Regions from separate parts of the Mus musculus genome. Here region 2 is reported to be linked to region 1. The links are microRNA targets in miRTarBase. Many come from high-throughput screens and were not tested one by one. Region 1 holds a microRNA gene; the other region holds the end of a gene's coding sequence.

What was found. Region 1 holds the annotated microRNA mmu-miR-669n (AUUUGUGUGUGGAUGUGUGU, at 3,152-3,171, shown strand). A microRNA usually pairs through its seed, bases 2 to 8, with sites in the 3' UTR of a target mRNA and lowers its output. Matches are read on the target gene's strand: a 7mer-m8 pairs with bases 2 to 8, a 7mer-A1 pairs with bases 2 to 7 and ends in A, and an 8mer does both.
Region 2: miRTarBase lists Nrxn3 as a target of mmu-miR-669n. Seed matches in the 3' UTR shown: 7mer-m8 at 3,959-3,965, 7mer-A1 at 3,410-3,416 and 8mer at 3,135-3,142.

The regions. Positions count from the first base shown.
Region 1 is chr3:115,976,754-115,981,828 of GRCm38, forward strand. Mir669n (microRNA 669n) reads left to right here and starts at 3,149; the gene lies at 3,149-3,202. It overlaps Slc30a7 (solute carrier family 30 (zinc transporter), member 7), which reads right to left. Exons shown (of 11, transcript NM_023214.7): 7 at 5,009-5,059; 8 at 1,891-2,026.
Region 2 is chr12:90,331,817-90,336,880 of GRCm38, reverse strand. Nrxn3 (neurexin III) reads right to left here. Exons shown (of 20, transcript NM_001198587.3): 20 at 1,946-5,064. The coding sequence ends at 4,471. Among named protein-coding and RNA genes, the nearest start is that of Gm40538, 74 kb to the left of the region's middle.

The DNA of each region.
Region 1 (5,075 bases):
AATTTTTAAAAAATGTATTAGACATTGTGGCAAGATAAATTCATTGTGTGCGCATGAATTTATCTATTATTTATTTTTTGTTTGTATAAGAAATGAGTAAGAAGATAACAAGGAAAACAATTCAAGTTGGAAATAGAAAATCTATAACTCTTTAGGGTGAAAAAGCCTAAGTTTTTCCACCTCCAATCTGAAGTGTGCCAGTTCCTTTGCTGGGAGGACCCTATGGTCACTTTATCATAGCAGGACACCAATTTGCCCCACAGAGCTCTAGAGAAACATAAGCAGACTCGGGACAGAGGGCTAAATGCTTTGGAAGGGGGCTTTGGTAGAAGGTGCTCCAGGGAAACTCCACACAGTGTGGAGGGCAAATCAGGAAATGTTCCCCGAAGGGGGATACTTCATAGGAAGGATGTGGACTTGGGGTACACACATCTAGAGAGCTGAGGGGAAAGGTGCATCATTAAATGCAGGAAGAGTTGAGAGAGGAGACAAGAACAGGAATGTGGAGGGCTTATTGCCATAGTTAGGAAACTGAAAAGAAAAGACTCACTAGAGAAGACAGAGATTGGAGGTGGGGCAGGAGAGATGGAGGGAGGGGGATTAACAAAATTAAACAATATCAGGAAGTCTCATTAAGGATTATGAATTTTATTCTGAGAGAAAGAGTGAGAAAAGGATAAGATAATTGCAGTATATCACATAATCCGCATCAAAGAAATGTCACTGCAGCATGACAAGAGGGGACAAAGTGGTCATCACACCAAACAATGGCGGTGGTCAGAATTCTGGTAACAATGAGTGGAGAAAGAGCAAGGGAAATACTACGATCATACTCTTAAATAACCATTAGGGGCAACTAACACTATAATATACAACACAACAGAGTGCCCTCGAAACACCCACGGCAAGACAGGTAGTCACAGAAGTGAGCAAGTCTGTCAGGAAGTGGTCACATCCAAGCTAATTCCCGGGAGTGTGGTAAGACCTCCAGATGAGGGAAAGGAATTCTGAGCTCTAGAAAGGCTTCCAAACACCAGCTGGATCCCTGTGCCAATATTTAAAGAATAATCTGCATGTTTAAAATGTATGTCTATTCTTAGGGCAGAAACTGAAAAACAACCACCTCTAACTTTAACACTGCAATCCCATGGCAATCTATTCCATCAATCCTCGTCAACACTGAGTTATGAAGTCTGCGGTCTTACTTCTCACCAGCGTTCATCTCCCTACAAAAGCTGCTGCTGCTGCTGACAGGACAGCTACAGAGAGATGATAATGCTCCAACTGAGACACACTATGCAAAATTTAAAATGATCAAATGCAGCAAGATAAAGGAATATAATTCTAGTGTTTTAAAATAAAAATGAAGCCAACAATAAAGTGTGTTTTAGGACAAAGGATTTTAGAAGATAATATTAACTACACAATGCACTGCAGCAAGTGGTCGTTGCAGATGGACCTCCCTACAGTCTTCATAGACCACCAGCTCCGTGGCTGGTGAGCAAGCGAAAAGACCAATGAAATGGCAGAATTAAAGATGGGTCTGGCAGGGGCAACACTGATACCAGGGTTTGACATTGTCAGTTCTAGATATAAACTAAAATCGTCTAGTTAATGACTTTACATTGCCAAGATTTTATTCTATACATACAGTGTATGGTTTAAGATTTGAATTATGATCAACTACTTAAATGTCAAAAATCAAAAAGAAATGTTAAAACTCCAGGCAAGATATAAATGGGAAAAGCTATAAGGAGAACTTGGATAGGACTTGTTTTAAAGAGCAAAGGGAACCCCACATGATAATCTGCACTGAAGGTGCCCAGCCACTGGTTCTGTTGTCACCTCCCTCTCACTTAGTAACAGATGGTAGCAGTCTGAACCACTTACCTTACAACTATAAGAATGGCTATAAGAATCGAACAGATAGGATCTGCTATCATCAACCCAAAATTTTGCATCATGATGGCAGAGGCAATTACACCAATACTTCCCAGTGTATCGGCTAGAATGTGTAAAAATACACCTAGAAAGAAAGCATAGGAGAGATTAGAATACTCAAGTGGGAATATTTCTCAGGACTATACTTAAAATATCTTACATATCAAGGAAAAAAAATCAGTCAGGAGAAGTACAGTAGTAACTGTGTAGCAGAATATTTATAAACTGACATAACTGTTTTCATACTGACCAGTTTAAACATCTAACTGGTAAATTATGCTCAATCTTAACAGAACAGTGAAAGTGAAGGAGTTAAAAAAAAAGAAAAAGAAAGTGAAGGAGTAGAGAAAATTAGTTTTAAATGCTGTCTGTGAACATTCACTCTTACTTTAAAAAAGGTTAAATAATTTGTTCTGGAAAGAAAAGAGCATCAGGTTTTAAAAAAAAAAGATGAAGAAAGCAATTTAATTTTGAATACATGAACACATAGAGCCCTCTGCTGGTGATTTAAAATACTGCTTAAGGAATAAAATTTTATATGAACCCTAACTCGACTTAACCTGACATTAATTATCCAAAACATGCCACTACCTAAATTTGTTATTATCCTCAAATACACCAAGCAAAAAAGCAGTTACCTGACTAGGACAAGAAAATACATGTTGAACCTTTGAAATTAAGTACTAAGTAGGACATAGTAGACTATTAAGGACTATATAGGACTATTAAGATTCATAAGTGATATTGGCCTGGAAAACCATAAAAATCTCAAGAAAGAAATTATATATGCAACTCTTTTTGAAACTACCTAAGACAGTAACTCACTCAATATGTAGATCTTTAATAAATAAAATTTATCACACAGCAAAGCAATCTATAAACATAGGTACCAATAAAAACAAAAACAAAGAAAAGCCATAAACCACCGGCCTTCAGCACAGCTGCCCTGCAGGGCACTGGTTAAGATGGCAGACATGCGACCAGCTTAGAAATTCACGTCACATTCCCTGAACGATCAAAGGTAAATGTGTGCCAATTAAAACTGAAGGAAACTTTGTAGCAGCTTAAAATTTGAGCACTACTGAGTCACAGTAAATCTTAACGTTTGCTGGGAAAAGACACTTCCCCTGCCACCGTGTGACTTAGAGCAGGGCGCAGCAAAGGGCACTCGGGCCTTTCACTCTGTGCAGACCACTCTGCAGATCTTTACATTTGTGTGTGGATGTGTGTGTAAATGTATGTGCATCCCACAGCACATGTGCAGAGGGCATTGGCTTACTCCTTCTACCACGTGGAGCCTGAAGACTGAACCCAGGCTGTCAGGTTTGGCTGCATGTGTCCTTATACAGGTACCTCACCAGCCCTGAGTTGTTCTGTAACAAATGGTATTCATTTGGGCAGATAAAAATGAAATGTGTATTTCCACTGGTAAATACTTGTAAATAACCAACTTCTCTATTGTACTTTAAATACCAAAGAATAATATATATATATACATATATATGTATCAAAAACACTTTGGTTTCAAAAACTAAAAAAAAATGAAAAAGATGGATATAAATCAATACAATTGAAATCCCTACATTACAAACTCCTAAATGTAATAACATAGTTTTAAGTTTCTATATTCTCCAATTAGTGTTTTGGTACGAACAGAAATAAAAATGAAAAAAAAATGGTGAAAATAATCTGTTATTCATTTTTCTGATGCTGGAAAGTCCCTGCCTCCATGTAATCCTAACCAGAAAGTGGGTCTCATTAGCACACATCATTACTCTTTTATAGTAACTATTCATGAAGAAAAATCTCTGAGGAAATACATAAAGTCTGTTTAAGTCACATAAGATCGAGACCCTCCAACATTGCAACACACCAATGGTCTAACGTATCTAAAACCTGGCTCACTAAGCTGAAGATGCGCCAACAACTGAAAGCCACATTAGCTGGAGGGGCTCATGTGCTGAGTGTCCGAAGAGCTCTTGGGTAGCAGAGCTTTTACATCAGGCAGTCACAGCTGCCCAGCAGCTTCCTCCAGGCCCTCTTGAGACCAACAAACTCATGTAGTTCAGAAATAGGAATAAAAGGGTACATCGAGCTTTTCTTCCTGCCATTTATGATGATTTTTCATAACTAAATACAAATTATTATCAAAGCCAATGATAGCACTTCATACGGCTATGTCAAAAATGTACAAAGACGCTTTTAAAAGCAATGCCATATATTTTGAAAATGGAAACCTGGTGACAGAAGGCAGCCTAAGCCTTCAGTATAGTGATCTCTTCAGTAATGGAGAAACACAAGAAGCAAGAACTCAACCCAGAAGCAGTAGAACAAAACACATGCAGGAGAGGCTAGATCTGGAGCCACTGAGAAAACCAGACCAACGTCGGCTTTAAAAAGCTAGGAGCAGGGAGGTTAGAACTTAAAAGCTTTGACAATACAGTCTAGGGGAAACTGTGAAAGACTGGGTTATAACCCAGAGGAAAGTACCAGAGTTCAGAGACAGAGTTTTCTCTAGCTGCTGTCACTTACGGAACACTAAGCTCCTGTTTAGGTATCAGTAATTGATGCTTTCACAGATGAGAAAGGTCTCACTGGACTTCATTCTTAGCTCTACAATTTAAGAACATATTGAACGTTACTCTTGGAAAAACTGTCATAATCTAAGGAAGCAGACAGGCTACCCTGAACTCACGACTGTAATAATCCAGGGAAGCAGACAGGCTACCCTGAACTCATGACTGTAATAATCCAGGGAAGCGAACACGCTACCTTGGACTCACGATAGTCAGGCCAGTACTTACCTTCAGCCGGGGTTGTCAATTTCTTGTATTTTTAAAATTAAATCTGAGAAAATAGACAAGTGGCAAAATATCGCTAATATACCTAACACAAAGTATAAGTGTGCATGTGTGAGTGAGTGTATGTGCGCGCACGCATTTATTAGGAAGGATAACACTTACAATACTGTTACCATCTACAGATATTTCCTTAAAAGAGAACTCCAGGCAACTTTACCATGAAGCCAGCTTCATGAAATTAAGAAAGCCACAACTGCTTGTCATACCTTGTAAAATCTGTCTGCTGGGTCCTGCCGTTGCTTTGAAGGATGGGCCATCTGTAGAGAATTAGTT
Region 2 (5,064 bases), not on the chromosome of region 1:
TCCAAGAATTGTGTTCAGAAATTATATCCACACTAGATTACATAATTTGACAACACTACAAAGGTATGTGATACCTTTATGGTTTCCAAGAAGAGGTGAGTAGAGTCAAGTGTCACAGCTGACAAAGAGCAGGCCTGTATTGAGGGACAGATTTGAAACTAAGCCTTCTTATTCCCAAACCCAGGGCAGAATTTAAACTTACCAGAAAGGGACAGTGCCATATCAACTCTTTCACTGAACAACAATGGAACATTGTTTCTGTGAATGGACTTGTAGCAATGTCCCCCAACAAGTACCACTTCAGTCATCATGGGAACTGTAGTGGAAGCTACTCTCTGAGAACTTCAATGCAAGATTTAGCTGTAAAATTCTTAACTTCAACATTTTTCAAAAGAAAAGTCCTTATTTTGTTAAACCAAACTTCTAGACCTTTGTTTAAATTATGCTAGACACACATGTGTAACTATGTGTCAATGATATATGTTTGGTAGTTGGGAATATGCTTCTCAGTTATACCTACTAAGCCTGGAAATTACTTGGCTATACTGTTTGATAATTATTAAGTAAATTATTTTACTGAGTTTCATTTGGGATAAAGAATATCCAAAGAGAGAAGGAACTTATCACATAGAGAATAGGACACAACTGACAACACAAAAGAGGCTAGGATAAAGAACCTTCTCTATATGGAAAACAAACTAAAGATCTTTATATTACTTTAAGTGATTTTCAAACCTAAAAATCCTACCTTGCCTAATTAAGTCACCAAGTTTTAATCTATCTGTCCGTCTATCTATCATCTATCTATCTATCTATCTATCTATCATCTATCATCTATACTTTTGCAGAAAAGAAATGTCAGAGAGTCTGTGATATTGAGCCATGCATACTCAGTAGTACATCTGGGACATCAACCAACTCCACCTTTAGAGTCTATGTGTTGTGCATTGGCTTCCAGGTAAACATAATGTGGCTATGAACATGACTTGAAAGGTATTGAACGAGCATTGCTTGAGCTATTTGTGGTGTGTTCTCACATCTTTGAAGCAGATTTAACAGATCCCATAGATAGAAGCAACAGAGTACCTGGCACATCATGAGCATTGATGATTTTTTAAAAGTAATTATTAAGTAATTATCTGAGATAATAATTATAAAAAAGAACTTCATATAATTTGGCATCATTGTACCAGATTTCAACCCATTCACAAGAAAGTCAACTGTAGAACTATGCCACTAACAAAACCTGAAGGCACATAATGGTATATTTTAGAACTGGTTAGAGGATAGTTATTTAGTTGAATATAAAATTGGGGATCATGGTGCAAAATGGGGTGCAACCTCATTGGCAAATGAAATGTGTGTCGAAAGTTCCATTGCTATGAGAACAGTACAAGCCAAACTGAGTAGATGAAGAACCTGATAGGTGGAAACTCTAGAAAGAAACTAGTAAAACTTAGAATCTCATTCAAGTTTTATTTTATAATTCAATGAAGCTTTGTATTTTCTTCTGTACTCTGAAGGGAAGCTTAGCAAAAAGGATACCCAAAGCTTTCTGTTTATGGGTATGTCTGAATATAATTACTAAATAGTGCTCAAAGTGTTTTGACTTGTAGAAAACACTTACCAAAGAGTTTTGATAGCAAAGCCTCCAGCAGTGTTTTTCAGTGTTTTTCTGCCATCTTACCTTTCTGGAATGCACCTTCTCCTCATCTTTGTCCATCACAGCAATCTGAACCCAAAGACCTCAGGTAGACTGGGGATTAGCTCATCTCGTGAATATGCCCTTTGGATCACTCTGGCATTAATAACGTGGTCAGGACAGCCTATAGCACATGAACGTGGTTCTAGTTTTCTCGACTTGTAATAAAATATGATGTACTTAGCTCTGTGCCCAAAATTTTTTACCAACTTTAAGAAAATAAACATGCACCATCACACAGGGTTTTGGGAAGAACATTTTATTGCTAAGCATATCCATGAACGAAAAAGCAAATGGGAAAGCAAAGAGAAAAGGAAAAAGAAAAAAGCAGGAACATCGCAACATTATGAAAAAAAATCTCTTTCAGGGTCTGCAAAGAACACAACAGGAATCCAATGAAAGCTCTCGTACAGAATGCACAAGTTCCCGTAAAACTGTCCAAATATTAACTTACACTAAAAGGAATATAACAAATGAGTATTTACTCCGATTTTTAAAAAAAAGTGGAAAGAAAGAAAGGAGAATATCAGTTCACAAGATCTCACGACTCCAAGAACAGCAATCTGTCACAGACATCGAGATATAATCAACTTCATATAGGCTGGGCCATTTATCTAAAATCGTGCTTAGATATCCTTGTACAGTCCTGTCTTTTTTAATGACAACAACAACAAAAAAAAGGAAAACTCTTAAAACATTGAAATCTCAGATAAGGAGGAACACCGCTCTCCATACACATCAGTAAAGGCTACCACTGTTTTAGACTGTGCCTTCTGCCCCATGTCTGTAAGATATTGTTTTTTCAAAGTCAAATATTCATGCAACTTACAAAGACCAGCAAGAGTAGATTTCTAAATCTAAACAGCTGATTGGTTTTCATCTGTACAAAAGAAATTGTATATGCCTGCCCCTCCAGATGACACATTGCCCTCTGTGAGAGTATGTGTCTTGCTTTATCTTCTTGCTTTTTGAATGGCTATGGCCATGAAACCAGTTTGTTTGTTTGTTTTTTTTTTTTTAATTACTCTGTACATTGTTTCCTCTTTACAAAAAGAAGACAGAAAGAGAATGGGACACAAACCAAATAAACAGACAGAAAGGAAATAACAGTTCTCAAAGCGGTAGGTACATACACGACTAAGGGATTATACCAGCAAAAATGTAGTAAAATATGTAAACAAAATCTGAGAAGTTTCTGTTGTTTGTTGTTTAAATTCTCTTTGACACAGTTAACTGTGACAAAACGAAAACTCACACTTTCTTCACATTTTAAGGTTTACTTTTTTGTTGTTTTGTTATTTTTCTTTTAAAATAACATTCTCATTCCACTTCAAGACTTTAACAGATTTCTGTGTCAGTCATCCCATCAAACATACCATGATAAATATATCTGTATATATATTTATTTATATATATTATACTATTAAATTCCTTTTGTGTGTGTGTCACAGCAGCTTTACTCATTTATTTATTTGTCTTTAAAAAAAAAAGATGGGCGGAAGGAGACATGAGGAGATGGGAAGGATTTACTCACATCAGGCTACAAAGTTAAACCATATGGAAACCGTTATTATGTTGGGGGTGGGGAAGTAACTATGATTTTTCACACTTGGCCATGACTAGGCTTGTGTGACCACTTGTGGTTGTGTTACAAGTTAGGAACTCCCTTGCAGTCTGTTGAAACAGATGCTAACATTGTCTTTTCTTTTTTGTGGGTTTTTTTTTTTCTTTGTTTGCATGCATTTCACAGATCCAGTCCACCCCCTTTCCCTTTTTTCCTTCCCTTAGAAAGGCTCTGCTTTAATTCTTGGGGGTTACATTTCCCCGTTCACACACTTTGGGTTGATGGACAGGGACAGTATTTGTTAAGTGAAACCAATAGCTCCGATAACACCAGCCCCAAACCCATCTGTTACAGGTTTGAATGGCAAATATTGGAATTAGATCTGGGGACCTGCTTTTCAAACGGCTTGTCATCCCACATGGGTTCACCAAAGCATTAGGAAACTAACAATTGGTTCTAGAGACACCACAACCTGCTACATGGAGTGAATGCCATGGTAGATTTTGAGTTCATATGGCAAGAGTCTCATACTTTTTTTCTGAGTATATTTTTTTCCTTTTCTTCTTATGTGCAGTCTTTGTCAAAAAAATAAATGAAAACCCAAAAGCTATTTTCCCCTCAGATCTTGGAAAGTTACACACACACTGGTCAGAACCAGATAAGGGTATTTCTGGGTTTCTTGTTTTGTTTTGTTTGTGTTTTTTTTTTTTAAGCGTTTTTCTTTTCTTATTTTTTTGTTTTTGTTTTTTTTTACATAATTAAACAAACAAACAAACAAAAAATAACCCAACATTGTTACAGTCAAGATTCACAAACATTATTACAGACTCACTTGGAGCTATGGAACAAGTAAGCCATATGGTCTTCTACCCCTTTCCAAATGTTCTGGAGAGAAGAAAGCTTCCAAGGTCATGTGGAGTCATGGACTTGCTCCAGGGCACTAAGTGTGTGCTTTATGATACAGCAGGGCAGAGAGAATTTTCTGTCTTCGGGCCAAGGCTACAACCTTGCAGCATGGCTCACCATTACACAGAGAGATACACCATCGTATGTGTCCTTTAAAAAATGGTTTTTCCCACCATAGTCGTGGTACACCCCATCTCACAGAACACATTCAACAAGTTAAATCTCATTGTCAAAGTATTCAGGTGTGTGTATAGAAATAATTCTGTTTTAAGTTCGCATACGACTGGTGGTGTTATGTTTACACATAATACTCCTTGTCCTTGTTTTTCTGTTTCTTATGGCCGCTCTTGGAGCTGGCTTGCTTCTCCTTCATGAGCGTGCCGTTGCTCTGGGCCGAGTTGCTGATGTAGTTCCTCGTCTCGTCCACTTGATAGGACCCCTCGTCCCTGTTCCTGTACTTGTACATGGCGTACAGGAGGATCAAGATGCAGAGGGCGGCAGCAGCCACAATGCCGACGACCATCCCTGTTGTACTGCTGGACTCCCGGATCACCTCTGAGGCCCCCGGAACCCGTCTGATTCCTGGCTCCGTGGGGTTTGCTGTGGGCACATTACGGAACATGGGGGAAGTAATTAGTGGGCTCTTCAGTTTGGTGCTGTCTAGCTCATAGGCAGTGGGCAACGGAAGCAAGACTATATCAGGCTGGGGTTTGAGATCACGGTTATTCATTTTGCCAGCTGGCAATTTGGGCACCATCCCAGACGAGGAGGACGCTGTGAAGCGGATCAGCTCAGGGGACAAAGAGGTGGTTGTAGTTCTACTAGTTTCCGAGACTTTGTTAGGTCTAAAGTCCTTGGATTCCCACTTGGGCGCATGTGCTTTGTAGCCACC